2 linked regions of the Drosophila melanogaster genome follow. The protein of the gene in region 1 interacts with the protein of each later gene in a pairwise test. Each region holds a gene or a part of one and is shown on either strand. Other genes may lie near its edges.

Region 1 (16,210 bases):
CGGCAATACAGCCGCAACGAGCCTATTACCTTTGATTTTATAAAAAAAAACTGTGGCTGGCCATTCAAGCTACCCAAGACGATATTGGACCTGGTCCATCTTGAGGCCGTCTTTGACGTGATGGATCTGTATCTTTGGCTAAGGCAAGTCTCGCACAAGTGCGCTTCAGAAAAAATCTAATCAAACTTGTTTTGCAGCTATCGGTTCATGGATCTCTTCCCTGAAGCGGCCTACGTGCGAGATGCCCAGAAGGAACTGGACGAAATTATACAGCAGGGCGTTTTTCAAATAACTCGCTTGCTTAAAAATACCGAGGCGAGTCAGGACGGAGAAACATCAAACTATGCAATCCGCCGAATAACGCACGTGAAGGAGCCTCGTCTACCCAGCTTGTCGCGTGGCCGTCTCACCGAAAGGTTACTTGCACAGGGTCTTCTTACCCCAGGCATGCTTAGCGAGCTACGCAAGGAATGGGACGCCCAGCAACTTGGCAAATCCAATTCGCAATCTAATGAAAATTCGGAACCAGTGGTGAATAGTGACGACGAGGATAATTACTCAGGGATCGGGCGAAAGACAAGGAAAAAACGCAGAAAATGAACGTGCCAGCTCAGGATTAGTTAGAATACGAAATAAGTAGGTAAGAAATGGATTTTTATATAATATACTTTTATTTTAAGTGGCAATTAAGTTATATTAAAATTATTTAGTTGATAATTAACAATGGCAATTTAATTGTTTAAATTTAAAAGTTTTATTATGTTATCTCTGTCAGAAAAAGAAAATGAATTTGTTTTTTTTTTTTTTTTTGCAATTTATGGAGGGACGCAGAGTCTGAACAAAGACACTAGAATTATTAGACACTAGAGTTATTCTAGTGTCTTTGGTCTGAAACACTTGACAAAAATGAACTTTGTGTCAAGGCTAACAGCCGTTGCACTGTTGAATTTAGAAATATGTAATACCGACATTAACGATTTCGATTAGTTAGTTAAATTTATCCTCGCTGTCCTTCCCAAATGAAGTTATAGACTTAGCTTATATATGGCCTTTGCAGTAATAAGGAGCACCAATTCATTCGAATTGCGGTTATAAAATATTCGACACTTAAAACATACAGATTTTTAAAAGATATAAATACTCTGAATATGATTCAACATACAAATTAATATTACGCTGGATGCGCATGGCAACACCTTAATAGTTTTGCTTTTTTAGGTTTCGATTTAATTTGAGTTTAAAAAACAATTTCTTTAAATATTTATTAAAGCTTTAAGGTTTCTCTTTTTATAAGTTTAACTTATATCATTCTTGCGCTCTAATGCAAAACCAAAGTACTTTCATTTCATTGACCATTGCAAAATCCAGCCACAACGACCGTCAACGATAGTCAGATACTTTAGCGGAGCAGCTAAATACATATGTGCTCTTTAGTCCGATCCCTAAATCGAAATAAAGCTCTAATAAAATCCATCTTCTCGCCTGGCACGCGAATCGGCATGCTTGCATTCACAGATGTCCTAGTATTTTTACCAACATTTTTTCCAACTTATCTTCGAATGTAGAATATGTATTTGTGCGTTCGAATTCTAAGGTACCGATACTTTTGTATTTCTTTGAATATCAAAACTGGAACATGCGCATGGCTCTTGATCAAAAAACCAAGAGTTACCTATGTACGTAGGTTTGTTAAGGTATGTAAGTTGCAGGTTTGATGTATTGTATGTACGTATGCATTGGCTACAATTGTTCCTATGTGTTTTCGGTTTTCATATTTGGGTAATAAAAAAGTGCTAGTCTCAACAGACTTTGGGCATCTTATGCCGGGCTTAATATTTAAATATAAGATGCAGAAAGGTAAATTACAAAAATTCGTCACTCATCCGTAGCTTGCACAGATGTACAAATGTACACTCAAAATCTTAAATACGCTCTATTCGGACATCTGATATTTCATATAGTATTCTTTATCACAAACAATCATAAAATTCAAATTTCGAGTAGTTATACATATAAGTACTGGTATGTACTTTTCGTGTATGTACTTGCGTATAAAATTTGAGTATTCTGGTTATTCTTGTTCGCTTTCATATTTCATATTTCCTACATTTTATAAACAAAATGTGTGCCAAATTGATTCCAAATTACAAATATTTTATGGCCCAGTCTAGGCTAGATTGTTCGGATGACCCTACCTCTTGGTCGGTCTCATCCTGAGCCAAGCACTTGACGACAGCAGTCGTCATTTGGCATCGACCTTGTAAAAACAAATCACAAACACAGACCTCTGCTTTAGACAAAGTCCAGCTCCAGGCCTGGCTCAATATCAAGTGCAACCGCTGCATGGAATTGAGCTCCGTTCTCCTCCAGACGCGACTCCTTTGAGCTCTTCTCGCGGGACCGGTCCTTGAACGCAGCGAGACTCAGCTTTCGGAGGGCCTTTCCGCTGCGTCCGGATGACTGGCCCAGCTGCTCGAATCAGGAGTCCACCAGCACATGCCAACGCGCCAGCATCTCTCCCTTGGGCATCTCGCACACGTCTGCCCAATGGGCCACTTCCTCTGATCCGGACGAGTTCAGACCCAGGCTGAACCAGCCGACCATCTCGTTTTTCTTCATGTGCCGCTTGGCGTACACAGAGATCATCAGAGTAACATCGTTGAGCTGGAACAGGGCCACCTGAAAGGCGAATGTCTCCTTAAAAAGCGGGTTAGGCTGACCCCTGCGGATTGACGTTTTGGCCCGGGAGATCTCTTGTCCGATGCTGCTGACCATAACCATTTTAACGTACGTGTCGGGCGCCTTGTTCAGCGACAAGCTGCGGAACTGGCTTCCCTTGATGATCTCGACGCTCAGACGCCCAGTGACCCCGTTGTAGCTCAAACCCAGCAGCAACTCGGAGACGCCCCCGTGCTGCATGGACGAGGTGGAGCCCGCGCTTTCTGACCGAGCCAGGCTTAACAGATCGCTAGTAGAACCCAGGCCCGACGAGGTGTTTCGTGGCTCCAGCGGCAGCCATAGGTTTGTTTCCAGTTCAAGGTCAACAGTGGCGAAGCTCACATACGCCTCCCCAATCAGGCGTTCCTTGCGCAGCCGCTCGCAGCCGTAAAGCCGCACACGCAGCCCCATGTTGTTCACATCTTCTGGGTTGACGCGATGGAGAAGAAAGCTCTCCATATACTGTGGATTTTCGCCGCTACGGATCTTGGTTTTGAGCTTCTGCTTTTTGCTTGGCAGCATCAGCATCCGGACCTGCGTGTGGGTGGTCTGCCCACTACCCAGGGGCGGAAGATTTTTTGCCTGCATCACGTGCACCGTCATTTTCCGCATTGGGGCGTCGTACAGCAGCGACAGCTCCAGCTCGATGGGACCCCTCTGCACGGCCGGCTCCTTCTGGTCCACACCAACCAGTAGGTCATCCGACTTGATCGAGCGCAAATCGCTGGTGTCAAATAGGGGTTCCTGGAAGTTGAAAAGTTTTGTATGTTAAAAAAAGTTTCAATGAAAAGCCCTAAAGCATGGTACAAGAAAATATGAAATGCTATCGTTGAGTGCCTCGACTATCAAGAACGCATTACCCATCAAAAAGATTTTATAATAAGAGCCTAGGGATAAATAGTTTTTGGAATATCAATTGGTACTCGCAAGTAAAGTAACTTAAACACTTTAATTTATTTTTTAGCAAAGTATCGGATTTTGACAGATTAATTATATTTCTTAGAAAGAATTTTTAATTTATGCGGTGCACATAATTTTTCAAAGTTAAGATAATAAACTTTTATTTTACACATGCAACGCATTAATGAATTTATACAACGCATTAATGAATTTTAACTTGTCAAGCAAAAAAAGATTGTTAACAGACTATATGGACCATAAGAGTCGGTTAGACTCGACTATGCTTGTTGGGTAAACTTTACGAGTCCGACCGAAAGTTGAATGCCTTTCTAGGCATAGTTTCTTTTAAAGGAATAGGTATTTAAAGTACCTCTTATGTTGTAAAACTTACGTCATCGTTGTTGTTGCTGCTGGGATGGTTATTGCTGGTTGTTATCGAGTTGTTGTTGTTGTTAATGCTGTAGGCATTGACCATGGGCACCACCAGCACGTTGTCCCGTTCCTTGTCCAGCTTTGGCGGAGCAGCCACGTTGACCCGGTGCTGGTACCTCAGTGCCTGGGTCTTGGCCCGGTGTTCTCCACACGGATTGCGGAAGGCTGTCGCCGGGTGGGGAACTGTGGTTGTGGCTGTCAAAAGGTCGTGACTCATTGCAACGGCTGTCAATTAGCTGGCCCTGACCCCGCCTTGCTTACCTTTGCTCAGACCCGTCAGGACGCCTGTGTGACTGTCCACGGAGACCTCCATGGAATCGTTCGAGCTGCACTCACTGTGCGATGACGGGATTCCAACCTTGCCACGCTCGGCGATGGCTAAGGGGTCACGCGACACCGTCACACGCTGCAGGTCGGCACTTGCGCCTGCTTGGTGGTAGTTGAAGCTCTGCGCCGTCAGCGGATTAGCCTGGCTGATTCCCAGCCCGTATCCGCCAGGCTTCTCGCCCAGTTGGTGCTGTTGATGCCACCGCAGGCGCCTCAAGATGTCTTCCTCCGAGTCGGAGCTGGTGTTCTCGTAACGCCTTTTGCGGGCTGCGGGATACTTAAAAGTTAGCCAGTCAGCCCCAATCCCCACGAAACACGGTACTCACTGATCTTCTGCACACACTTGACTGCAAGGTGGCGCTCGTCGCAGCAGTTGATGGCATGGCGGTAGTGAAAACAGCACTTGCGACTGATGAAAAGAAACAACAGGAGCAGTAGAACGAGGACGCCGAAAAAGGCGCCCAGCAAAGTGGTCACCTCGATGGTGCCTGAAAGATTTAACAGTCACGGCTCAGGTCAGAATGGTGTGGTTTGTGGGGTGCATATACATTTTTACGTACCGAGCGTCGGAGTGCTATCCAGTCCAGAAGCGGAGGTAACAATCATCTTGGCTCATGCGAGGATCCTGGCGAACACGAGTCTACTACTCGCAACTCATTGCACCCGGACCACAAGTCAAGTCACTAAAAATTATTCTCACTGCAGCGTGAAAGCAAAAGCTCAGGAATTTGACAGCACAGCGTCGCAGGATAACTGGAATCGATTTTTCGCAAGACAACGACTAGGGATCAAAGCAAAAAAGTCGTTTGGAAGCTGGTGTACTCCGAATTACCCGTTTTTTTGGCCCTTCCGTATTTCGGAACCGTTCATCTGAGATTTGGTTGCAAAATCGTAAAACAAATTATAGAAGGAACAACTATACTGTTCTATCCTATTAATCACTTTCGATTTCTTGAAGGCACGATCCCAAAACTGCGAATCATGCAACGAGAGATTCAGAAATAAAAATCAAACGGCTCAGGATTTAATTCAACTGAATTAGGATGAGCTGCCTTAAACTCGATGGAAAAACTGCTTCAAAGCAAGCACTTTGGAGCTTAATCCCTCCACCCCCAGTGTGTGTACACACAGGGCTCGGAAAAGCTCCGTTTCGACAGTTGCATCGCAGTAACAACTGTTGCTTATTTTTTTGTGTTTGGGAGGATGATTTAAGCTGAAAACTTAGAAACGGGATTCTTTTTTATTGGTTGTGCTGTGCTGTGATTTCTTGAATTGTAATTGTTTAGAATGTCTCGAATAAAAATTCTCTCCGTGTCGTATGCATTCGAAGGTTTAAACGTTAGTCGTAGCCACGGTTTCATAAAATGTTAAGACCAAGACCGTTTGCCTGTTATTGATGTTCAAAAATTTGAACCAAATAATTAAGAAAAGCGGAATTAGTGCATCAGAATTAATGCACATTGTATGCTCCATTCAGGTAATTGTCCGGTTGTTTAAAAAAGAGCCTTATAATTTAGGTCAAAATTTTTAGAGCTACTCATGCTTACATACATGAAATGCGCTGTTATTCGATAGCAGATAACACTCCGAGCAGCAGGTATCGATAATCGCAACAATCGCTGTTCCAGCGAAAGTCATCGCTTTGACGGCACATCGCAGATTGCCCACCTCTAAAATAAATGCCTAATGAATTGGCTCAGTTCCGTTGTGCGCTTAATTTTTTGTCGCTGCTCAAACTGAATGTTTCCGCCTGTCAGAACACCGTATGCAAAACCGTGACCGCGCCCACGCCGTGCTTGAAAGTCCAATACATTTAATCCGCAATTGTGACGCAAGTAAATTTTGGATGGCCAATGCCACTGGGCAAGTGTGAGTGCCGTGTGTGCCAAATTCCGCTGAGACGCTTCTGATAATATGATTATGGCTAAACAGCTAAATATAGTGCTCAGTGCCCCCCACAAAGCGGAATACCGCGGTGGTACCGTGATACCACCTCCTTGGCGTCGATTACTTCGTTTCTTTATTGCTGGTGGAGCTAGCAGGAGGAAGAAAGCCAGTCTACGACGTCATCTTATGTCGTTTCGCTTTTCATTTCGCAGCAGTCACTCGCACACAATGAAAATCGAGAGGGTGGGATGGGGGTGGAACAGGGATTTGAAAACTCGATTTCCCGTACCAAGAGCCCAGACCAGAGTTGAGCGCGTGTCAAAACTTTTCGACACAAAGCAGCACGAAGCCGAACTGGAATCTGGCAAAGTGCAGTCTAAATACATATAATATAACGCTTTTGTATGAAAATAAAAGTTTGTCTAACCTTGAATCTAACAACCAAGGCATTTTTCGTTAGGTATATATGTGTACTTCCAAATATATAAAATATCCTCGCAGAGCTTCTAGAAAATATTCTATTGTAAGCAAGTTTTTGCAGTGGACCAGTGAGCAATGGCGTGGGAATCCCAGCTGTAGATGCTTGGAATTTCTACAAAAACTTACAATGTCGTTTCCCGGTCTTTTGAGCTTTTAAGCTAGTATTCAACTTTCAAGTCAACTCCATTTCTGTCAATCCTAATTTCTTCATACCCTTGCAGAATGTATATTAATTTCAGTTAGAAGGTTTTAACGCAGTGGTGGAGATATTTGCGACCATATCAAGTATATCTATTCCTGATCAATATCGCCAGCCAAGTCAATATCTAATTCACATTTTTTGCCAGGGTTTAAATATTTGCTACAATATAGCTCAAGCAATCGAAGTACATATGTATGTATAGTGCTCTTCGATTGGGTCAACAAACCAAGCGACTCGCTCTTCCAGCTCTTTGTCGCCGTGTGCATTTAGTCATTGATCGCGGGAAGGAGTCGCTGTGGGCCATGTCACCATCTCCATTGACAACGCAGCCTTTCTTTATTGGTGTCATTAAAATTTGTTAAATGGAAAGGTCATTAGACACAGCGGTGAAACCGGTTTGGTTTGGCGGCTTAATTTTCGGTTAACTCGACTGCATAGATTACGCACCAGCCACTTCAATTGGCTGCCAAATACCTTATGCTTATTGGTATGTCTTCACTTGCAGTATGTATATTTGCTGGCAACCACCCACCAACAAAAAAAAACTTGACCCAAAAGCGGCGAATGTTTATTTTCTCTTTATACTTGACTGACGTTCATCTTGGTGGCCAGAGTTTACTGCCAATGTCGTTCTTAGTCAGTTAAAGTGGGAGTAGATACAATTATCTTGAATCCAAGCTACCGCCTATTTTCATCCCGAACGTATTACTAGATGTTACATACTAATAGAAACAACGCTTAAAACTGGTAAATAGGTTTTTTAGTTGAACTATCAATCGTATTGTAAACTGTTAAACCTCATTGACAATTTTATAGACACAAAACGCTGATTTAGGGCTACCGCTGGAAAATTCTATTATCTGTTAGTGAATTCGTCTAAATTCATTTGTAGATCAATAAGTGAATAAATGTTTATTGTTCGTCAATTAAGTGCCATTCCACTGGTCTGTGCCTGCATACATTTAAATGTTTTTACATTGTATATTCTGCAACCACAGCACAGTTTGTGACGGTGGTCGTGCAAGTGTTTGGAGAAATCGTACGGCTGTTTCCAGGGATTGCATACGTAACTTGAGGATTTTTCTTGCTGTTTCACTTCTGTTTATTGTCTCCCCCAAGTGCACTAGGTACAAACATCGAGTCTTTCGTGGGTTAATTTCTGTGTGCTTCCAGTTTTTATGGTCCACTGCGGAATCGCACGAATGAAAAACCTCGCTTAACAATACTTAACTATCCGTATTTTTTCTATTTCAGAAGCAACATGAGCGTTTTGCGGGAGGAAACGACAACTTCCAGCCAGAGGGAGATAAGCACAAACGGCGGTGGGTTGGATTTCCCCGCAGAAGTGACGTCGCTGATTGCTGGCAACAGCTTTTGCTTAACGCCAGGAAATAACGGCGGGATCGGTGCCCAGAAAAAGGTCACTACTGGAGCGGGTCTGAACAGTACACAGAGAGGTGAGCGAGATCATCGTCCGAAATATTGAATATCCGTTAATCTAGGTTGTTTATAAAGTCTATTTTAAAGAACTTGGTATTATAAACTCAAAATTCACATTAAATTCCAAATCAGTGAGTGAAATGTTAAATAAATACAAAACACAATAATAAATCAATTAGGTTAATTTTGTACATTACGCCTTTTATAATTCCCTGCAAAGTTAAGAAACCTCTAAGTTTCTTCTGTGTTGTACTAATTTTGATATAATAAACATGTTATATTGCATTTTTTGATCTTAAGGTTCCTTTTATTTTTAGCCACTATAATTACGAAAAGATTTAATCTATTCAAACTGACTGATTTCACGGTCAGTAATCGACTTAATTTTATTTGTTACGATGCCTTTGTCCGAGATATATCATTGAAATAACGGAAACTATTTACCTAACTCCCGAATTATATAAGGTGGGCAAAATATATACTGTTTGTTTAAAATTAATATTACAGTATAAAGTACATATGTATATTAAGTAAGTATATGAGTATACATACATCTGATTAAAAAGTTGAAAATGTTCAATAGTGTGGGCGTGGCAGTTTTAATCAATAGAAATTAACAATATATACAGTCAAATGACAACAAATTAGGGGTGGGAGTGTCAGCTTTGGTTAGTTGCAAAACAAGCTTGCTTCTTATTATGAAATTTATAGTATCCGAGACCTCGACGGACATACGGACATTGATAGATCGACTCGGCTAGTGATCCTAATCCAGAATATGTATATTTTCAAGGTTCGGTGACAATCCCTCAACATTTAGAAGCATTTCTGAGTAATTTCCTTGCTCTCCTTACTGGCCGTTTATCGAAAGGGGCATCGAGTTTGCTCAATCTATAAAAACCAAGTATTTGCTTGACTTAAAGAAAACCGTTTGGTTTTAACAATTGAAAAACGAACCAAAATAGTCTTAAAATTGCTTCAAATTGCCCCAGACGTTTTTCTGGGCTAAAGTAACTTAGACAACTCTAGTTTAGCCGCCGAGTTGAGCGTTACGTCCGGAATTGTTGAATTCGTGTAATAGTTTTCACTTTGTCAATGCTGGAAGTGAAAGCCGTGAAGCCTTTAGCTACGTAATCTGTCCACACTAGGACCTGCACTATTGAAATTGTCAAGATGACCTCAAATTAAATTCTCCTTCAGCTACGGATGCCACCAAGCGCAAGAAACTAAGGTCGCGTAACGTACCACCTTCCCCATTGGCCCAAAAAACTGAAGCAGCGGCGACCTCTCTTAACCAAACGAACATCGGTGAGGTCAAGAGAACCGATATTAACTATTCCAACGATCACCTTGATGCCTGGTTGGAGAGCTGTTTACGTGATGCCACCAACGCCCAATTGTCTTCTTCATCTGAGTTTTTGGACTTCATACCGCCCACAGCACCAGCTCATAAGCAAATGTTTTTGACTCAACAGCAGCAGCTGCCGCAGCTTAAACAGCAACTACAGCAGCAGAGGCAACAGGAATTTTCGAAGCGAACCCAGCCTTACGGAGTGGGTCCAGGCACACCGTTTAGCCTGGGGATACAGCGCGTGAGTAGTTGCTATTGCAAGATATTTTGTACAACGCACACCCAACTTTATTTTATTTTTACAGAATTCGAACTCTCTTAGCCATCGATATCCGATGCTCTTCCCACCCCAGAGCCTTAACAGCTATGGTGATGGTGGCCAGGAGTTTGCAAGCTTGCCTCCCCTGAACAACATGATGGGAGGGCCGGAAGGGCTTGGGTGCGATCAGGAACCGAATTCGACGGATGTGCTGGATGGCAGCGAAAGCAATCCCAACTTTACCAAGGGGTAAGCAAAAACAATAAATTCGTAATGAATTATTAAAGAGCCGTACTTACCGTGTGATAACAGATTTCGGTTCAGCGATCCGTGCCTACTGAACCCCTCCGATAATGACTCTAAGCTGAGTGGCCAGAATACACCAGAGTGTCGAAATGTGAACAACAATGGCAGTGGCTGTGATCTGGCACATCAAAACAAATTTTTCGCGGCTCTAATGGAACAAATAAACATATTGCACGACACCAATTCCAAGATCTGCCGGAATTTGCATAATACAAAAGGTGTGTGGTTTGTAGGATTGTGTCCAGTTTAGATGTCACGATGCTTCCCAAATTACGACAAAATTACACAAATCTCTGATTTATTTTACTTGTACTCGTATGCTAATTAGAATGTGTTGCCACCCATTTCCTCTTTCTATGTACTCCCTTGCACTTGCAAACACAATCATAGTTGATATCGAAGCTTTAAAGCACTCCCCTAATAGCCAGCACTGGGCAGGTGTAGGCTTTGGGGGCATGCGGCACCGTAGAGATAGCTTAAGCGGGCTAAGCACACAAAGTCAACCTCTTATTCTTGGCAGTGGATTGGGAGGGACACACAGCCCAGCGCCCACATTTCACTCAGGTATAACATAAACGCTACCCCCAACTATGCCATGCAAAGGAGTGAGTAATAAGTTATATTCGCTTCCCATTTTTCAGGCGCCTACACTCCAGGAATGATGACGGATGTCGTGCGGGAAGTGAAGGAGGCAGCGCGCATACGCGAAGATGCACTGCTAAGTCGGTAAGAAGTCGAAAATTAAAAAGTATATTTAGAGTGTTGATTACATTTTGTTCTCAGAGTAAAATTAATGGTTGAAGAACGTCAGTGTTCCTTAAACGAGGGAAATGTCCGAATTCTGAGAGATATAGACGATCTAAAGGTGAGTGCTAAAATAAATGTGCATAAAAAGCTAAAAGCTAAAAATTCGATTTCGGTTGTAGACCCAAGTAATGCAGTTGCGACTGGAGAAAAAGGAGACTAACAAACGCCTCTCACATCTGGAATCCGAAAACAAGTGCCTTCGTCAAGCTCTGGCCGGTTGTTATAACCAGCGGCCAATCAGTAACGACATTATTTACGAAAATGACCGATCCCATGGATTCCGAAAGCCATTTCCGAATGGGGGTGGCGGCGGAGTTGTGGGTTCCGGTGCCCTCGGAATACGACGGGCAAAATCTTTAAACCTTCATTATGGAACAATGCATCAAACGCCTATCCAAACGACACACTCTTTGGAAGAGGACGACGAAATAGAAGAGGAGCAGTTAGTAGAGCAAGTAGGACTGGACGGAGAAGAATTATCCCTGACTGGCAACAACAGTTTATCGTGTTTGAACATCGGTCATCAATCTCCCTCCAACTTAACGCCTCACTCACAGATACCTAAATCAGAAAAGCAAGCAGTTAGAAGCCCTCCCTCTTTTGCGCTGGCTTCTGACCAGATCAATCCGGGAATTCCACCGCCATTGCTACCACGAAAGAAGGACCACGCTCATCTAAAGCGGGAGCGCAGCGAGGCGGCCTCCGTACGTAAGGAGACAAATCAACGTATAATTGCGTGGGTGTAGTATATGCTCTGTTCTACATTTTTAAACTAACCCATCACCGTTAACTTTCACTTGCATGGACGTTTTAAATATACGTTTAGTCACATTCTACTAATCATTTTAATCACTATCTGAGCTTGGTAACTAATCCTAAAACTTACAAATTGTACACTTCCTTTTTATCTTTCAATGGTTATTTATACTGGGCAACATTATAGCCTTGAGAAATTGGTTGAAGACCTAAGTGACCAGGTGAGAGGTAAGACAAAGAGGAACCCGACCGTATCAAGCACTGCAGCGGACATAACGCTATCATCGAAATTCAGCGTGGCGGACGCTCCGATTACGGACTTATAGTTTTAGCTATAAGCCGCCTCAAAAGCAAAAGGGTTGCGCCAACACAAAATGCGTGTCACTCACTTATAGCATTTGGATACACGACAATTATCACATCAACGACACTTCATCTTATGTTTCAAAATTTATTATAACCCAATAACCTGTGCGTAAGCTCAAATGTATTAACTAGAATGCTTTTACCAAGTGTCAACTGTAATTTAAAATTTTGAAACTCATTGTTTTTTGTCTACTAAAAATAAATGTCACTAAATTTTTAAATGAATATGGTCCATAAATTATTTAATTCATTTTGAGTTAATTGAGATGCATTGCACAACAGTGTTTGTATTTTGTGGATGATTAACTAAGAAAACCTGTACCTATCGAAATGAACAAAAATCAAAATCTATATAGACGCAAAAAGCCTAGAATTTAAATAATAATTAAGTAGGTTGAATAATGAAAATTGTTAACCATATTTGTTAAGTGCCATTTAATTAAAAAATGTAAAAATGTAATATATTCATATAAATAGACATAAACATAAACATTAACATGAACGGAATGCGTTTTTATAGTTTTTTAATACACTGCGCGTCACCAGGTCAGCGCCTCTTAAGCAAAACTTTTTGATGTGAGATATTTAGTAAGCGAGAGCTTTGAAAATTTTTTTCCCTTAAGAGTTGAAAAGTTCTATAAATGAAAAGTTTATTTGGGTTACAGTTTGTTGTTTATAGATTTTTATTCAAGTAAATAAAAATTAGATGTTAAGCACTGAAATATTTAAATTAGAATATTTTTAAAGGATTTTTTGTTTTCAAGGACTTCACACATTCGTCTGGGAAGTGAATCATATTTTTTTGTAGGTAATCCAAAGCAATCGTAGACCAACCGAGTTTTATTTCGGTGATCGATTCCTCTTGAGTGGCATATTGTTTACCACCCTCGTATACCTTCCCATCCAACCATGCCCCAGAACTTTTACATTTCGCTTTGAATCCATGTTTCCAAAAATGTTTTTAAAATAGGGAAATGCAGTTTTTTAATACACAATTATATATAATAATATAATTTTTGCTGTTAAAAACTGGAATTCACAGAGGCCATGATAAGATGCTGCGCTCCATACCATGACACCTCCAACCCGTCTGTGAAAGCGAACCAAAATATGCTCCTCTATACGCAAATCATGGTTGTAATTACTATAGCCGTCTGCTTTCTCCAGATAAATTTCTTCTCGTCCGAAAATACAACATAATGCCACTCCTTAGACCGGATCATATAAGCTCAAGCAAAACTCAGTCGTGCTTTTTTTCGCAACTTATAAAGAGATGTTTTTTTTCAGTTTTCTGTGTTTCAAATGTTTAGTTTTCTTAATCACTCTTTGAATCAAAGATTTGCTCGGGTTTTCGCCACTTTTACCCCGAATTTTGTCGGAGGAGTCGTGGGAATTGCAAGGTATTCGATAAGGAATGTTATTGCCACCTTTATAGTTTTTTCCATAAGTTCACTTGTTTTTAATAAAATTGACTATAGTTTTGCGATGTCTGCCGTTTGCAATTTTATAAAAAGAAAGCCCGCATTCATAGAAAGCTATGATTTCGCGTGCCTCGTCCCATTTTTTCGCAAAATTAAAGCAAACTATTCAATTTAACAGCATACAAAATTTTGTTGTCCTACCTTTTAAATTATGGAAGATATTCCAAACTTCATTATGGGGCGCTAATCTGATGATGCCATATACGTGTCCAATTTTTCGCCGAAAAGAAAACAAAGCAGAACTAAAAAGATAACGGTTTTTTTCAGGACCTTTTTTTATCCTCAAAGAGGTGAATATCAGTGAACAAAAAAAAAATTAAATTGATATATTTTTATGCAATGGCAAAATAAAACAAAATAGAAAAACAGAACATAAGAAGAAACGGGGACATGCAGGGGGCTCTAATCTGATGACGCGCAGTGTATGTTAAAGCAATTATAAATCAAACGTTTTTAGGATTCTTACATATATTACATACATATATGCGCATTTATTTAAAACATTCCGTCAAAAACACTCATACACAGGTGCCAATCTAAAATCTAAAACTGTTCCTTTTTATGGGGCTCCTTGACGTGTTATTCGATTCGTCCGCCCGTGTATCCGGCGTCGGGACTTGCCTTTCGCCCTCTCCAAGTCAACTCAAATCTTACAGAGCATCTATGCACATATATAGAAAAAATAATGTAGAACTCATTTAAGACTCAAATAGCACAGTTTCTAATTTAATTAAAAAAAAAGAATAATATACATAGCAAAGAAAGACACGTTCTACATACATTGTGCCGCCATGTCACTCCTGTCGATTCCCAGCATAGCCAACTCGTCAAGCTCCGACTGACGACGAAGCTTCTCACTGTCTGAAGGCGATACAGCCGGCTCTGGTATTTCTGAGATATCAGCTTGCTTCTGTAAGGCCTTGCTTTTCGTCTCCTCGTCAAATGACGGCTCAGCCGGAGGCGAATTCGGCATTGGGATATCCTCTGCGTCAATCAGTTTTATGTTTACTCCGTCGTCCGATTTGCCATTTAAATCCTGCAACTTTTCAATCTTCTCCGATGTTTGAATATGTGACTTTTTAGGTACCTCTGCTTCATTGATAGTTACAAGGTGAATACCCTCTTTAGCTAAATCTTGAAGATGAATCACACTGAGCACTGCGTCATCTTCAACAATGGTGGTGATAGTCACATCTTCCTGCTTTTCACTGTTTCCATTTGATGCCTCCAAAATCGCTACGTCGCTGGGGAATATTATGTCAAGCGCTTCGACCAGGTCCTTTGGGAGTTCCCCGTCTCGGGATTGTGCCGCAGCGTCTAACGGATGCGGTACCAGGGCAGATTCAGCTTCATCAATGCCTGGGGGCAAGACGTCCTCTCGGTTTTCGTTGTCATGCTGATCGCCATCCTCAGGGCCATGGGCATCACCTTCAGAGCCTTCTCCAGGCGGCGGAGGTGGTGGGCAGCTCGTCATTAAATTGGCGAACTGGACAGGATCTGGCATTAGCTCATCGTAATCTACCATCATACCCGCATCTGGATGAAATGGGGGAGCATTGCCAAAAGCATCTTCCATCATTGCCATCTGAATCTGCGCAGCTGTCGGTGCTTGTTGACGCACAGCTATCTGACTTGTCGCTCCGCCCAATGGAGGTGGCGGTGGAGGTGGTGCCTCCAAACAGCCGTTGGTGTAGACAGCAGAAGCATCATAGTTGAAAGATGGAACAGACTGCTTTTTAAATACTGGCATCTTACCGATGAAAGGTAGTTTTTTGCCTCCAGGCAAGGAATTGTTACTGGGCTTGGATGACTTTGACTTGCTTTCTGCATCCTTCTTGTCGCGCTTTATATCAGTTTGCTTGCGTTCCGGCACAGTACGGGGCCGAAACTCGGAATGCTTGACCACGGGACGCTCTACCCGTTCAATAGAGCGACTACGACTGCGTCGACTTCGGCCCTGACGGGATCGACTTCTTCGACTAGATCTTATGGGCGAACGAGAGAAGTGTCGGCCACGACTGCGTGACCGACGCCTACGACCACGGTCTCTATCTCGCTCACGATCCCGCCGATCTCGATCCCGCCCGCGACTTATGCTTCGAGAGTAGCTGCGCCGCTTAGAACGTGAACGAGAATGACGTCCTCCACCCCGCCTAAACTTTTCATCATTCGCTTCTGTTGGTACTGCTTTGTGGTTGTTCTGGTCGCGGGCTCCCTTGTTCTTCAGCCTTCCTTTAAGCTGCTCCAACAACTTTTTTTCACTCTCACTTATAACAGGCTGCACATTATTCCATTGCTTGAGCATGGTATCATCCCGGTTCTTTTGATCCTTACTTTGGTCTTCGACACTGGCGGCAGTCCATTTACCCCGTTCTGAAGGAATTGTGGAATCCTTTATGATCGGTGGCGGTGGCGGCACCACAGGCTGACAAGGCACTTCCGGCTTCAAATTTGTTGGTGTGCTTTCCTGCTTTCTCATGGCCACTCGTATTGATGCT
Region 2 (16,210 bases), on another chromosome or scaffold:
ACTTTTCAAGGTTAAGTCTTTGGCTGGCGTCGCCGGCGAGCAATGACACTTGGGCATGGGCAGAACGGGCCCGCGGGGGAAGGGACACGGATAGGGACCAGAAGCAACATCCAATTCCACGTCCACATCATCGCTATCGAACACCCTCTCGCACACTCACGCACACACACACAAACACGCCCAGCAGTTCGCAGTTCGTTCACTTGCCGGGAACCCTGCCTCCTCGTTGTGCTCTTCGTCCTCCATCGGAATCTACCCTCCATCCTCTTGGAACCGTCTAGCAGCTACCATATACCTCGTACCGTCTGCCGTCTGCCGCAATTCCTGCGCGACCAACCGTGGCACTGTGGTTCGAAGTCTACAGTTTAAGGATCAAAGTCACAAACAAAGTACTATTAAATTAATATTGTTAATTGCTTAAAAAACAAGAGTTTACTAAGCACACAACTTTAAATTTGTATAGTGGCTTACCAGTCGTATACTTAATATCTATATTCATACATTCTTCTTAAATTGGGAGAATTCACCACGATTGGAATATATATTTAATTAAAAGCTCGATCGACGACCACTGTGGCTATGACACCCTTTAAATATCTGTTAACCCAGCTCTTCCCCCCTGATAATTTTCTGCCCGTCTGGATGTTATTGCTCACGTTCTCATTCTCTCAGGTGCACGCTACGCTCCAGTGGTGCAGCCATTCCGCCCTTCTGTGCACTCTACACTCTCAGCCAGGACAAAAAGTTGCAGCTTGAACAGTGTGCACTTAGAAAAGTTGATATGTTTTACAAGCACATAATTGACGTATTTATCGAATTGCTTAATTTCTATATTAAGGAAACCACTTACTATAAATGGCGGGTATAAATTATCACATTTTTTCCAATTAAAGTCATTAATAAACTTAAAAACTCGGAAATACTCTGCTTAAATCATTAATAGACCCAGTTTATTAGAATTTAATTAACTAAATTACTGCCGATCAACAGCGACTAGATTCACAGCAATAACATTTTATATAGCCAAGCATATAAAGGAGTTGGCAGCAGGAGTCTGGCGATTTCATTAGCCAGGCCCAAACTTACATAAGGTGGAAACAGGAGCGGCAGGAAGAAGATGTCTGAACCTCGATGGCGATGACTTTTACTGTCGTTTGAGGTGCATACACATACATTTCGGTATATATCTATATATAGTTAGTTATATATGTATGTATGTGTTGGGGCGTCGTCTGGTGGACATGTTCGGTGAAAGGGAAAGGTTATTAGACTCGCCCCGTTGCAGAATTTGATGTGGTGGGGGTCCAGACACTGGCTGCTCCTTATTGTTATAATAACCTTTCGGTTTTCTGTTTTCACTGTCGACGGAAGTGGGCGGCGACAGGCGACAGGCGGCAGCAGGTGCCGGTGGGCGGGGCAGTGCAATGACAGCGGTCGACGTCGGTCCTTGGTCCTTCGACTTCATCGAAATCCACCATTAGGCGGTGGGCATTACGAAAGACTGACACTCTCTCTGCTTTCGAATTTCTGGGCGACGAACTCGCGGCCCAGTCACAGGCTCAGTTTGTGGCAGGATTTCTCGCTTTTTCGGGATATTTCGGCTATTGACTCGGCCGGCGGACGTTGCCACATGGCGGCCTCAGTTGAATGCACCCGACGAGGTCACAGGACATCGGCCCACCGCGTTCTCGGTCAAAGTCACATGGCCACTTGACACCAGACCCCAGATAACCGCAATTACAATGACTAGGAGATACATACGTAAGTAGGGATGTGAGTGATGAAAATAGAATTTGAAGTAGGCTTTTCAGGACGTTTGCATATACACAGGGGGTAGTGAACCGAACGAAAGGACTTTTTTTGGGGTCAACTGAATGACGGCTGATGAAATAAGTTCATTGGTGTGATTATCCAGAAAACGGGCAAGGAAACATATTCACGCATTTTATAAAACACATAAACAATGAATAAATAATCAAATACTACTACCACATTTCTTGCATGCATTTAATTAGGGGAAAACAAAATATTTAGATATACTTCATTTTAGTGAACAAATATTTGTTTCAATAAAAGAATGACTCACTTCAGTGATGTCATGATTATTGGCATAGGTTTTGGTTGTTATAAGCGGCATAAAGATAAGAAGTTACCACACATGAGCTGTTATCACAACTGCAAAGTATTACTTATCAAATTAGTTATCGATTTGCTGAAGGTCACTACCAGTTGGCGGCTTTTAAATCCTTAAGACATATAAGGAAATATTAATAAAAATCACATATTCAATCGTGATTGATTGAGATATGCTGCAATTAATGACTCATCAAACCAGTTGTATTGCCCCATAAAGATAGTTATTAAGCGGCCAATCGATTGATCATATTTTAGTGGGTCAATTACCGGATGCTAGATATCGTTTTTCGTTCGAGAATTTTCCTTTTTCACGTTTGTCAGCAGCAATCGGTGCACCGCATGCTTATTAAAGTTTTCCGCCAAAAAAAAAAAGTTTCTCCATCCCACTCAAGTTTCCCTCGGCGAGATGCAAAATATTTGGCGAGAAGAGAAAATAGTAGGGAAAATTCGCGAACAGATTTTATGAGGTCAAAACTCATTACAAGCGATGGCAGCGGCGGGGGGTGGGTGCTGTTGCATAGTGCACACTGTACAGTACATACACGTTAGCCCCAATTCGGCGAGTGGGAAAAAGAAAAGCTGCAGCAAGCGGCCCATGACAGTTGTTGCAGTTGCAACTTTCTAATGCGGCAACAGCGAACAGCACTGCAAACGGATGTGGATCGCGGCGACTGCAGCTCGCAACGTGGCATCAACATTATGTGTGCCATGATGCACATGCACCGCACTGCAGCCAGAAAGCAAGAAAATCGAATCGAATTTCTCCGACACTGCTTTCCACTGCAAATTACTTAACTATTTTCCCAGTTTTCGCTTTGTCGTGCAATTGGCGAACAGTTGTTGCATGTTGTTGCATATTAGCGGCTGCAACAACAGCAGCAGCAACACGGTGCGGCAGTGAAAAGTTGGTCATGACAATCAAATGGCCAACACTGCATGGCATTCGAGGGGTGAGCAGTATCGCTATCTGCCGGGGATGGGGGTCTTGGCTGGTTTTTCTGCACACACACATACTCGTACGAGTGCATGTATGTATTTTGCTGGCTTTGTGTGTGGCCACTGATGCATTCCGCCTGTTGCAACTGCCACTTAGGCGAATCTAGTAGGGTCCCCTTAGTAACCTTTGCATGCCACCATTTTGCACGACTTGCTAGCGAGGAGTTGCACTTAGTCACAGGAATGACTAACCAACCAACCGACTGGTAGTCGTTGTTCTACCCTAAATTCCCAAGGGTGACTCAGATCGGTCCTTACCACAAACGCAAGTTGTTAACGCTCCTTTGGTCGAGTCCATCGGTCATCATTGAGTGATCTTCAGTGGGGGAGAAACAAGACGTGCTTCATAAGTTACAAAATATGAGCTACTTACTAATAGAAATGGGTAATTTTTAGGTAAAGAAAATAAAAGAAGGATATTTAAAAAATATAATAGAATATGGCATTAAATGAATCTTTTAATATACATAGATTTTTTCAAGTCAACAAAAAGAGATATAGATATTATTATGAAAGTATTCTTGTAATAAGTACTATTACATTTAAGATATGAAACTATGATTTTAAGTTCGTAAATTTATTTAATTATCTAGCTAATTTTTTTTTAAATCGTATCATAATGAGATCATCGTATCATAATCATCATATCATCTTGGTTTTAAATCCTGGCTAATCCGCTTAGGCACCTGTCCAGATGGTGAAAACGCGTAGCTTGGTAACTTGATCTTAGCCAAGTTAATTGCTGGTGGGTACTTAACGAAAAGTCTCCCCACTTTTCTGGGATTAAGACTTTCCTTCGGTGGAGAGCCAAATACTGTTGGCCATCAGCTTAATTAGAAACGAGTTAAGTGTCCGCAGCTCAGCACTTAACTGATCTATTAACGAATTTCTTTCTACCCATTTCTATTGACTTTTGTTGTCATCTTGCTTTGTGTTTTTGGCTGGCATATCGGGTGATCGGAATCGGGAATAGGTATGGGTATTGGTATGGCATCCAGATGGAGATCGGTGTGCCCCAGTGATCTAATAAATGCCGCATTGTCATTCGCTTCGCTTCGCCACTCCGTTTGTCACTCAATGCCCGTGGCCCCGAAACTGGGGCACATTCATTAATTTATCGCATGCAAAACAATCCGCTGAAGTATCTAATGCTGCAGCTGACGTTGCAGTCGACACACAAAAAAATAGAAAGTTTTTCGCCAATCGCCGGCGGACTGCCTGCTGCAATTTTCTCTTTGCAATTTGATTAAATAAAATATTGTGTAAAAGCGACGCCGGCAGAGCAACTTTCCAACTGCATACTGCATACTGCATAGGCTGCAAGTTGCAGTTTCGCGCCACGACTTCTAAGTCGGTTACTAGATGCAATAATAATTGCATTTGTCCCACTTTACTTTCACTTGGCGAACGAGCAGCCAGCAACAAGCTGCAAGCTTCGAGTTTCAAGCAACTAGCAACAAAAAGCCGCAGCGCAGGCGTCGACTTTGACTTTGTGTGCCTGTTGCAGCTTTTCCAACCGTCGATGTGTGTGTGTGTTGCATGAAAAGTTGCAACTTTTTCCAGTCGCTTGGTGGAAATTGTGCGCCGTTTGGTTGACTGGCAAAAAGGAAAAGTGGGTCAAGCGCAGCATTGTTGTTGATGCTGGCGCTGCTGTTGCTGCTATTACTTGTTGCATGCCCCCACTAAATTGACAATTGCCTGCAACACACACATTATGGGTTCGCCACTTTGGCATTTGATTTATGAAACTGGGTTACCACTGCTTTCCTTTTTCGCGCTGCAATTCATATGGTTTTTGCTTTAACATTTCGTCAATTTATTCACTATTATTTAAAGATCTTTATATATTACTCAATAGTACAGCAAGCACTAATCTTAAACATATTTATGTACGATTCTTTTTTTTTTTACATTGCCTTCAATATATTGTTTTATTGTGCTGTACATAAAAAAATTACATTTAAATCCAGGGCCTTTTTTCCACAAACTCATTTCGTAAACGTTGCTTTAGATCGAGTCTGTGCCTAATATTTACAATGTTTTTGAATTTTGTAGCGTACTTTTTGCTTTCGTTTTTTTTTTTGGCATCAAAACAATAAATAAAAGGGAGTTTGTTCGCAGAAAAATAGTTTAAAATTAGAACGCGGAGTTTTTCCCGGTTTGGTTTTATCATCTTTGAAGAGGGAAAATTGTTTTAAAATAAAAACTGAAACAATATAAATGGGTGACTTGGTCAACAGAGTTATATGCAAAACAATTTAACAGAAAGGAATAGGAATAGATTGGTTATCGTCGATGCAGGATGTTGGATAGGGTGCGTATCTGCTTCTGCAGCTCGGAGTCCATGCGGTACGCCTCCTCCTCGAAGATGAGACGCATCTCATGCAGCGCTGGCAGTTTGTCCGCCTGCATGTTGAGCAGATCCCCGAAGAACTTGGTCCACACATGCTTTTTGAGGTAACGCGGCAGCTTTTGTCGTATTTCCCAGCTGGAGCCCTTCTTTTGCGGCTGCATATAGTCACCGAAGAGCATCACATGAACGGTCGCCGCGATGCAGAAGAGATCCGTTTCGTAGGACCAGCTGCGTCCCTCCTGCATCTCGATGCAGGTGAAGCCATCCGTTTGCACCACCTTCCGGAACTTGGTCTTCTCACCGTCCGGGAACAGGGTCATATCGATAGCACAGCCGAAGTCAATCAAACGTAGCGATGGCAACGGACTGTCCACATTGGGCACACGCATTAGCAGGAAGTTGTCCGGTTTAATGTCCGCATGGATGATGTGCTGGCGATGCAGGTGGTCCACGATATTGCAGATCTGTGCGGAGAAGTGCATCACCAGCGATTCGTGCATTACTTTGGTGGTTGCCTGGCGGATCTTGTTGTTGATGTCCAGCAGCGAACCGAACGGTGAGAACTCGGTGGCTATTAGACTAGCGTTTGGGGCGATGATCGCCGTGGAAATGTCCATAACGCCAGGCAACACCTCTGGCTCCTTGATGCGTTTCAGCACCTAAAACACGCAATATGTATTAACACCCAAATCTTTTTGGCAAAAAAAAACTTTAATATAAGTGGTAAATATAATTTTTCTTACCTGATCACATATGTATATCTCCCAGGTGTTTGGGGGCTTCTGATACTTGAGCGCCACTACATTGCCGGTCCGAGAATCAGTGGCTTTATAAACCGAGCCATATGAGCCGCGACCCACCTCCTTGTCGATGCTAAAGGTAACGCCTTCCAGGACGTTCAGCGTGCGAGTGTTGGATATTTTTGGCAGTGGCGTTTGGACAATCTTGTAACTGGCATGGGCATCGTGATTACCCGGAAAATCTAGCTTGGCGAGAAAAGCGCGGCACAGTTCGCTGTTGAACGGATCGATGGCCTCCTTGTCCATGTGGCGGGCTATCGTTTCAACGGCCTTCGATAGCCGACGCTCCTGGGCCTCCGTGTCGTGCTGAGTGGCGAAGTACGAGTTCTCTTGAAATGTGGAGAAATCGGCCATGGTGCTAGTGCCATTATTGTTGTTGCTGGTGTTATTGTTGTTGTTGTGAATTTGTAAGGTCTTATTGACCGGATGGAGGATCTGCTGTTGCGATGTGTCGCGGAAGTTAAGTCTATCAACAGCCAAGGCCAGCGAGCTATTTGAGTTATCCAAAGCTGTGGCACTGGAGAACGAAAAGTTTGCATTGTCATTAAATGTGCCAGGTGCTCCGGCGAGCACACTACTCGAGGCCACATCAGCCACCGAGGATGCCGAGTTGCTGTTGCTGCAGAGATCCGGCTGGAACTTGCTGCGCTTAACTTTGGTGCGTGCCCTGCGATAGCCATTCGCCTCGCTCTTCGGCGTCGAGGTCTGGCCCAGCATGTAGGGATGGAAGTGGTGGTGGCTTCCGTTGCGTTGACGCTGGATGGGAATCGGAGAAGCAGGTGCCGGGTCCGGCGAAGGATGATGTACTGCCTGCGGAGGCTGATGGATTATTTGATGCTGCTCCTGCTGCTGCTGCTGTTGTTGCTGGTAAACATTCTCTATGGTATAGGCACTGTAGGTGCTGCTGGGCTCCTTCCTGAACTTGATCTTAATCGATCGATTTTCTTGCTCGAAAGTGGTTTGCGCACTGAACTGCACGCCATTTGTGTACGGTCCGCTATGCTCCTCTTCCTCTTCATCGTCTTCCTCCTCTTCATCAGAGTCATCTTCCTCGTTCTCTTCACCACCATCCTCCTCCTCTTCTCCCTCCTCGGCGTCATTGTCCTCATCTTCCTCACCTGTATTCTCCTGACCACTGCTGGTGTTCTGCCCGTAAAGAGCTCCATCCACAGCAGTCATATAGTAAGATTTCTCAGTTTCGTAGGAATCATAAAGAGTTTGCTGTTCTTGTTCTGGCGGCTCCGATGGCTTGGCTTTTTGATCCATTAACTGCTTAAACTTGCGGGCTAGTATCTCTTCGGGACTGTACTCGACGCCTGCTCCTGGTGGATATACCAACTGCTTGGCATAGTGGCACACGCGCGAGGGATCATCAGGCTCTTCAAGCGTTAGAGCCGGCTTCCATGTCTCATGGTTGTTGCGCCCGTAGGCGTGGAAATTGCGCGGCAAGCGTAGGCCAGCCACTTCATTTGTCACCGGAGGACTTTGTTGAGGAGGTGGATTGCCGTTGCCGTTTTGTTGCTGCTGCGGCTGCTGTGCGTGCAACTGCGGTACTGTAGTTTGTTGCGGCGGCAACTGTGACTGTTGGGCTGGTGCATAATGGGACTAAAACAAAAAAGGAGTATTTATCAAGTAGCTTTGATATTAAATTTAATGCTCACCTCTGCCACAGGAGCATAATGCGATTGTTGCTGGACTTGGGATGGTGGTATTGCTGTTGGGGACTGAGTTGCAGGATGTGGTTCATAGCGCGGCCGCTCCTGGTAGTGTGTCTGATAGGGGACCTGTTGTTCTGGCGGCAGTTGCTGTTGTGGCGCCGGCTGATGAGGCTGTGGGGCTTGATGTGCCTGCGCCTGCGGATGATATTGCTGATAGACATTCTGCTGATATGGCTGGGGACGGTGTTGATTATAGCTCTGTGGCATCTGCTGCTGTGCATAGTTCGTGAGTTGCTGCAGTGCATCCTGCGGGGGATGTTGCTGGTGCTGCTGTTGTTGCTGTTGTTGCTGCTGTTGCCGCTGGTAAAAAAGAGACCTGGCATAGGCGAACTTGGTGTGGGCGTGCTGCAGCTCGGAAGTGCTCTGCGCCTTCTCCTGGAAGGCCAAGTTAAACACCGCCTCCGCATCCTTATACTCCTCGCGAGACTCGTAATAGGCAGCCCATCCAATGTAGAAGGCGGCCACCTGGCGACCAGTTCCTCGCTGAAAAAGCACCTGGTAGAAATGGAGTGGATCCGTTTGCATGGCTATGTACTTCAGCCACAGCCGCACCAAACGGACATCCTGGCGATAGTAGTCATTGTGCTCATACACCGTCAGGCAGCGCTCCAGAGTTTCGCGGTACTTTAGCTCCGGATCGCTTTGCGCGTGATTCTCGTACCAGCAGATGTAGTTGTACCAATGATCGAGTGGATCAGGACCCTGGTACAGGGATATGGCGTGCTCCCAAGCCTGCTTGTCGTTCAGGAAGCCGTGCATCTCGTCCGGGCTGGCCAGCGGCGGTGCTCCAGCTGCGACTGCTCCTGCTCCTCCTCCGGAACCCGATCCCTGGCGCATGTACGAGTGCATGGCCATCTCGGCCGGACGCGGAATCCTCTGATCCCGCTGCGCCGTAATGCAAACAAATGAATGCGAGACTGTGGTTTCTACGGGTCACCACCAAAAAGTCTCGGATTGCGGAATGTAGTGCCCCTTGCCGATTGGACTGGTTAGGGTCCACTAACTCAGTTAATCCCTCGGCGTCTTCGGCTGTCACTGGTGGCACATACACATGATTTTCAGTTGGATTTTTCAACAGTTTGCAATGCTCAAAGATATTTTGTATTTTTTCTTGCTTTTCAGCTTGCAAATGGAATTTATTAGTGCTGCCAAACAATCGATAGAACCATTGGCTGTCACTGTTGACGATGGCTATGCACAAGGTTATCGATAGTGCGATAGAAACGTGTTGTTGGGAATTTTTAAACAAAAGCAATTTTTTGTACAACTTTACTTTTTATTTATTTATTTGTTGCCAAAGTTCAATTTTATTAATAAAACTATAGGGTTCTTTGTTTTAAATTATTGTAGTTTGAATGACGCACAATATATGTGTGTGTGCTATGAAGCACTTCCTATTTGATATACTTTTTGTATAATTATAATCTATTATTGGAAAACAACATGTTAATCGGATGATTTCAATTTATGTCAAGTTTTCTACTTTAATAAGGGGTCTGGTTGGAGCTGAAGCTTTCCAAGTAAAGTTAGCGATTTATTATATGGCATTACGTTCTCCCTTGTTATCTATTTATTTTGTAATATAAATATTCAAATCCTAAACGATAGTTGTATAACGATAGGAACAATGGTCCACGATAGTGCCACCTCCGATGCAAGTTTGCTTAATGCCCTCCAGAGCGCGCCACCGTGCTCGCTATTACTGCATTATTGTTTTTTATCAACTCGCTAGAAATTACGCTATTCCCAAAAAAACCGCAAACCCGCGAGTGTTTATGTTGCGTTCCGAAGTGCATATCATAGATTAGTAGTATTAGTAACCCCTCAAACAGCCTGCTGTCCAAAAAACACGCGTGATTCCCCCGCCACCCACGCACATAGACCCCGATATTTCACTTTTCTTGTTTTCGACCCCTGACTGCGTTTGTGGATTTTCCCCCCAAGAAAAAAAAAGCGAAGTGAAAACGCAATTGAGCAGCCGATCGATTGGAACGGCAGCAAACTGAATTCCCCGGGTTACGGATAATGGAGGTATCCGCCGATCCGTACGAGCAGAAGCTCTACCAAATGTTCCGCAGCTGCGAGACGCAGTGTGGACTTCTGGACGAGAAGTCCCTGCTGAAGCTCTGCTCACTGCTGGAGCTCCGGGATCAGGGATCCGCACTGATCGCCAGCCTGGGCGGCAGCCATCAGCTGGGCGTGTCCTTTGGCCAGTTCAAGGAGGCGCTACTCAACTTCCTGGGCTCCGAGTTCGATGGTAATACGTCATCGGGTTTCATTGGTGAGATAGCACAAAGAATCGATCACGCTATAGATTAACTTATATAGTATAAAGATAATATTTGCTATAAGCTAACGCGACAGGTTCGCATAAAACAACATACGTTTTATCTGTAATTGCGCTTTAATTACCCATCAAGCAACATCAGATAATTACGGAATGTTTGCCAGCCACTTATTAGAGATAGTAATTCAATTTTGACACGGATTTGGAACCGTGTGGGTTTCCCTATTAATAAAACACTGATCTAATGAACACATTTCTAGCAGTCTATAGATGAACAAAGCCATTACTTAATACTCAAAGAAGTGCTACCATCTACGTGCTAATTTGCAAGGATTATGCACATTTACTTCAAACCTCCGCTTATCTGATTTGGAAACTTCTGGGCAAATTTAGGACACCTTAGGGTACGAATATCATAATCAGCACGCGGATTAGCACGGCGGCAGCTGGCGATCATAAAATCATAGATGCAATTGACACTTTTTTACGACTCCCAACTGTTCTCGACTACCTGATCCTGCATGATCCTTATCAGGTAGATGGTTACAATGTCCTGTATAAATACGCGACACATTCACCTGGGCAGTTTAGTCTAAATCAAAATGGGAACACGATTGTATTACCGCCGATCCGGCGGTCAGTTAACAGATCCGATAATTGAGAAGCTAGCCGCTCGTTTTGGTAGCCACCTAAGATCCATACAACTCTTCCAGTTCTCTGCTAACTTATATCTATTGAATCTTCCAGAGCGTTCACTGGTGATTACGGATGAGCCGCTAAACAACACATACATCGAGAGTCCGCCGGAGTCTTCCGATCGCGAGGTTTCACCCAAACTCGTCGTGGGCACCAAGAAATACGGTCGCCGGTCTAGGCCACAGCAGGGAATCTACGAGTTATCCGTCACGGACTCGGACAATACGGACGAGGACCAGTTGCAGCAGCAGCAAAATCAGCGAAGCCTCAACGGATGCGATGAGCTGGGAGTTCAGGTGAGTGTCGTTTGTCAAGTCACGTACGAAGTGGCGATACAACTTCTGGTTATGTATGCAAAATTGCATAGTAAACAGATTTTGTTTAATCGTTATTATTGCTGATACAGTAGAGCATGCCTAAGTAGCACTACCAAAGCAAACAAATTATCTTAAATATACATCATGATCATCATAAGCATCTTATTTTTCCAAACCACACAGGTGCAACGTTCCTCGTCCCAGAGCGATCTTCCTGGCAGCCGGCGTCTGCGGTCCGTCCACACCAGCGGGAGCAAACTGAAGCGTTGTGCTTCACTGCCAGCACGCCGGAAGATGAACAGCAACACCACGGGAGCCACTACATCACCGACGGCAGCGGCCAAGTTGAAACAGCTTTCCATCCAGAGCCAGGCGCAGCACAGCAGCAGCGTGGAATCACTGGGTAAGTTTCCTCTGGCCAGACCAGCTTTGGCTAGCCGATCCCCCTTGTCCCTGCCACCCTCTGTTGTTGTTAGCCCAAAATGCCAAAATTACGTTTGAAGCAATGTTAAAAGCAAAACACTTGTTTGTCGGTACACACCGTAGGCCATCGCCTGGCCACCAATCCCGCACCGTCGTCCGAGCACTGGAGATGCTACCACGGCGGCCGTTGGTCATGCTGCAAAGGTTTGTGCGCTCTGAAGCAATTGTCAACACCCTCACACCCACCGAATCCCCAACCCAGTCATTCGGTATCTAATCGCACCCTATGTAGCCGCACATTTGATTCGTTCTATTTACTCGTATAATCACATATCCTACATTTTCAACCCTTAGTAATGCTGTAATGCATTGACAATCAATTTAATTAAGGATTTCATATAAATCAATTTCAGTTAGAAAGGATATTTACTTATAATTTGTTCTATTTTCTTGATTTATTAGTTTCTACCTCTTAAAATAACACGCCAAAAATTTCTCATTTCGAAAAGCCATTTGATATAGAGAAATAACAAACTTTCGGCGCTTTTGCTTACACCATCGACACACACACACACCCTTCCCCACTCCCAATCCCAATCCAATCCCACACCCACCTGGTATCTTGGGCTATATGTATAATAAATGTGTATATACAACAGCGAAGCCAATCTCATTCGTCCCACGCTAATTGTTAATTGCCATGATTTACAGACACCGTGACGCCGCAGCAATTGGAGACGATCTCAGTGCATAGCATTATGGAAGCCTGGGAGCTGGCCAGCATTCCCAACACTCGCAACCTACTTCACGTCCTGGGATTCGATGAGGAGGAGGAGGTGAACCTGCAGCAGCTAACTAAGGCATTGGAGGAGGAGCTGCGGGGCATCGATGGGGATCACGAGCAATCGAATATGTTGCGCGCTCTGGCTGCTCTGCAGGCCACCGAGTTGGGCAACTACAGACTTGCCTATAGGCAGCAGCATGAGGAGAACCTCAAGCTGAGGGCCGATAATAAGGCGGCCAACCAAAGGGTGGCTTTGCTTGCCGTGGAAGTGGATGAGCGGCATGCGTCGCTGGAGGATAACTCCAAGAAGCAGGTGCAGCAGCTGGAGCAAAGACACGCCAGCATGGTGCGTGAAATAACGCTGCGGATGACTAATGACCGCGATCACTGGACCAGCATGACGGGAAAGCTGGAGGCACAGCTTAAATCGCTTGAGCAGGAGGAGATCCGTCTGAGAACGGAACTTGAACTGGTGCGCACTGAGAACACGGAGCTTGAGTCGGAGCAGCAAAAGGCTCACATCCAAATCACAGAGCTTCTCGAACAGAACATTAAGCTCAACCAGGAACTGGCCCAAACGTCGAGCAGCATTGGTGGCACCCCGGAGCACAGTCCATTGCGACCGAGAAGGCATAGCGAGGACAAGGAGGAGGAGATGCTCCAGCTAATGGAGAAGCTGGCTGCTCTTCAAATGGAGAACGCCCAGCTGCGTGACAAGACTGACGAACTGACCATCGAAATCGAGAGCTTAAATGTGGAACTAATTCGCTCGAAAACCAAGGCTAAAAAGCAAGAAAAACAGGAGAAACAAGAGGACCAGGAGTCGGCGGCCACGGCTACCAAAAGGCGTGGGGATTCGCCGAGCAAAACACATCTAACAGAGGAGAGCCCTCGCTTGGGGAAACAGCGCAAGTGCACCGAAGGAGAGCAGAGCGATGCCAGCAACAGCGGAGATTGGTTGGCTCTAAACTCCGAGCTGCAAAGAAGTCAAAGCCAGGATGAGGAGCTAACAAGCCTTAGACAGCGGGTTGCTGAGCTAGAGGAGGAACTCAAGGCTGCAAAGGAAGGCAGATCTCTCACCCCGGAAAGCCGTTCGAAGGAACTGGAGACCAGTCTAGAGCAAATGCAGCGTGCCTATGAGGATTGCGAGGACTACTGGCAAACGAAACTTAGCGAGGAGCGGCAGCTGTTTGAGAAGGAGCGACAGATCTACGAAGATGAGCAGCACGAGAGCGACAAGAAGTTCACCGAGCTGATGGAAAAGGTGCGCGAGTACGAGGAGCAGTTCAGCAAGGATGGCCGCCTCTCGCCCATTGATGAGCGCGATATGCTGGAACAGCAGTACTCGGAATTGGAGGCAGAGGCAGCCCAGCTGCGCTCGAGTTCCATTCAAATGCTCGAGGAGAAGGCTCAGGAAATCAGTTCACTGCAATCAGAGATCGAGGATTTGCGACAGAGATTGGGTGAGAGCGTTGAGATCCTCACAGGCGCCTGTGAACTCACCTCGGAGTCGGTAGCCCAACTGAGTGCCGAGGCGGGAAAAAGTCCAGCCAGCTCACCCATCAGCTACCTCTGGCTGCAGAGCACCATCCAAGAGCCAGCGAAATCGCTTGCCGATTCCAAGGATGAAGCCACCGCCAGTGCCATCGAATTGCTCGGAGGCTCACCATCGCACAAGACAGCCAGCCGGTGAGTATGAGAAGCCTCTCGGTGTGTCCTTGGTGTGAGCATCCCTGTGTCTTCCTCATAATTTGCACTGTATGTCCTGTATATATGTTTCAGTTTTGTCCCTCACATCTAACCATGTCTAATATAAGCTAATTTAATCCTTTTAATTGTATGTTTGTGCTTGTTTAATAAATATAATTTATATTCATATAGAAATTCATCACATTATCGAAATTCATTGATTTATGATTTCAATAAATATACATTTAATATTTTACAAAAAAATTACTCTTTTTCGGTTATGAAATTGGCTGCTGGAAATGGTTTTGTTTGCTTATTTTTCACATTTGTATCATTACACGTTTTCATTTTGCATCTTTATGTTTAACAATTCGTTCAAAGTCGTTTTTATTTTGTAAATCATGCCAATTTAATGGTCCCTTAAACAGCAATAACCTCACCACTTCGGAAACATCCATCTTTAGCACTACACCCTTCGAAAGCTCTCAGTCGGGTCCTTCGCCCACGAACAGTGGCAACAGCAACGCCTACGGCGCCAATCCCGGCCCAGCTCCGATCAGCAAGCCCAAGCGGTCCCAGAGTCCCCAACAGGCGGCTGCATCGGAGGGAGAGATAGCCGATTGCGAGACGTCGTCGACGGCGTCCGGCAAAAGCTTCGAATCCAACAGTAAAACGTCTTGCCTTAGCCACGAGAAGTGCAGCAGTCCGTCGGCACTGAAGGAGGAACTGAAGCGCCTTAAGTTCTTCGAGCTCTCCCTCAAGGAGCAAATCAAGGATCTGAGTCTGCAGCGGGACGGTCTGGTCATGGAACTGCAGCAGTTGCAGGAGGCGCGACCCGTGCTCGAGAAGGCCTATGCGGTGAGCCATAGACTTTGTTGATCAGGGAACATATTCTAATCGTATCTGTGGACTCTTCTTTAGCGAACAACGCATCCAACGCTTCAGCAGCGACTGAACCAATTGGAGCTGCGAAATCGCCATCTGCAGAATGTCATCAAGCAGCAGCAGCATTACACGGAGTCCCTGATGCAGCGTAAGTTGAAGAAACTACCTACTGACCAAGAATGATAATGTAATATTTATTCATTAGAATCCTGGCGGCAGCATCAAGTGGAGCTCAACGATTTGCATAGCCGAATCGAGACCCAGGGTGTTTTACTGGCCGATCAGACACAGCGATTGCAGAGTGCCGACATCCTGGTGAAGGATCTATATGTGGAGAACTCCCATCTGACGGCTACGGTGCAGCGGTTGGAGCAGCAACGAGCTAGGGTGAACCTCATTCACCAGCAGCAGCAACAGCAGCGCCTTGTGGGCGGTGGACTGCCTGGCATGCCTTAGTTTGCCCCACCGGCAAACGTATATAGTTTATAGATAATTATGAAAAAGACAAACCTGAGGAGGGAGTGGTGCTCAGCATCGGCAGACATCGAACATGCACCTAACCATAGATCCTTATGAATGTTTAGACATATACAATTCTCGGTAGATTAAGTTTGCATACCCGTCGTATTCGTATTCGTACGTTGCGTTTTTTTTGTGAATGAATGTGAATCCATGTTGTTCGACACGAGAGCACAGCAGCAATAACTAAAGTGACTTTAAACTAAACTTAAACTCACCCACGCGCAAATGAGGAACAATCCACACTAGTGTACCAATTTGTAACACATCTAGTAATCGAATCGACTAAACTATTTACACGAGCTACAGGCATATATACTCGATTGGACATATACGATGAAGTACCCACGTAGTATATGTTCGTGCAATGTTGACCTTACTAATTGACTACTGAAACAGTTATCGTATATTAATTATATTAGAAGAAACAGTATTTTAAATTTGTTATGCGTCTGAGTAGGCGAGCACGTTTATCAATGTTTATCACGTGCCCAATCAAATGCATCGGAATTGTTGTTAATTTTATTGATAGAGAAAATGGAAATGAGCGTAAAAAATGATCTATGATATTGATATTGATGTAATATTTAACGACAAAAGACCTGTA

Evidence for each region.
Region 2: the proteins of CG9795 (region 1) and Nin interact in a two-hybrid assay, tested with the Drosophila melanogaster proteins (2 studies listed by BioGRID).

What each region holds. Positions count from the first base shown.
Region 1 is NT_033777.3:4,313,645-4,329,854, forward strand, and holds CG9795 (uncharacterized protein), read left to right. Parts: upstream 1-6,038; 5' UTR 6,039-6,142; coding exon 6,143-6,246; intron 6,247-8,200; coding exon 8,201-8,403; intron 8,404-8,703; exon of another isoform or gene 8,704-8,851; intron 8,852-9,586; coding exon 9,587-9,978; intron 9,979-10,042; coding exon 10,043-10,245; intron 10,246-10,308; coding exon 10,309-10,520; intron 10,521-10,692; coding exon 10,693-10,866; intron 10,867-10,943; coding exon 10,944-11,028; intron 11,029-11,085; coding exon 11,086-11,167; intron 11,168-11,228; coding exon 11,229-11,845; coding exon of another isoform or gene 11,846-11,855; exon of another isoform or gene 11,856-12,052; coding exon 12,053-12,191; 3' UTR 12,192-12,449; downstream 12,450-16,210. Other genes in the region: Suv3 helicase, read left to right, coding at 1-143, 198-600; Syt14 (synaptotagmin 14), read right to left, coding at 2,479-3,462, 4,010-4,245, 4,312-4,644, 4,704-4,865, 4,938-4,983; CG9776 (uncharacterized protein), read right to left, coding at 14,363-14,373, 14,493-16,210.
Region 2 is NT_033779.5:5,272,008-5,288,217, reverse strand, and holds the start of Nin (ninein), read left to right. Parts: upstream 1-9,669; 5' UTR 9,670-10,028; coding exon 10,029-10,284; intron 10,285-10,876; exon of another isoform or gene 10,877-10,892; coding exon of another isoform or gene 10,893-10,971; intron 10,972-11,037; coding exon 11,038-11,282; intron 11,283-11,486; coding exon 11,487-11,706; intron 11,707-11,849; coding exon 11,850-11,930; intron 11,931-12,437; coding exon 12,438-14,199; coding exon of another isoform or gene 14,200-14,203; exon of another isoform or gene 14,204-14,391; intron 14,392-14,627; coding exon 14,628-15,057; intron 15,058-15,120; coding exon 15,121-15,232; intron 15,233-15,289; coding exon 15,290-15,540; 3' UTR 15,541-16,210. Other genes in the region: Bub1 kinase, read right to left, coding at 5,419-6,144, 6,229-7,890, 7,947-8,858. UniProt on the Drosophila melanogaster protein: Required for the positioning and anchorage of the microtubule minus-ends in various cells.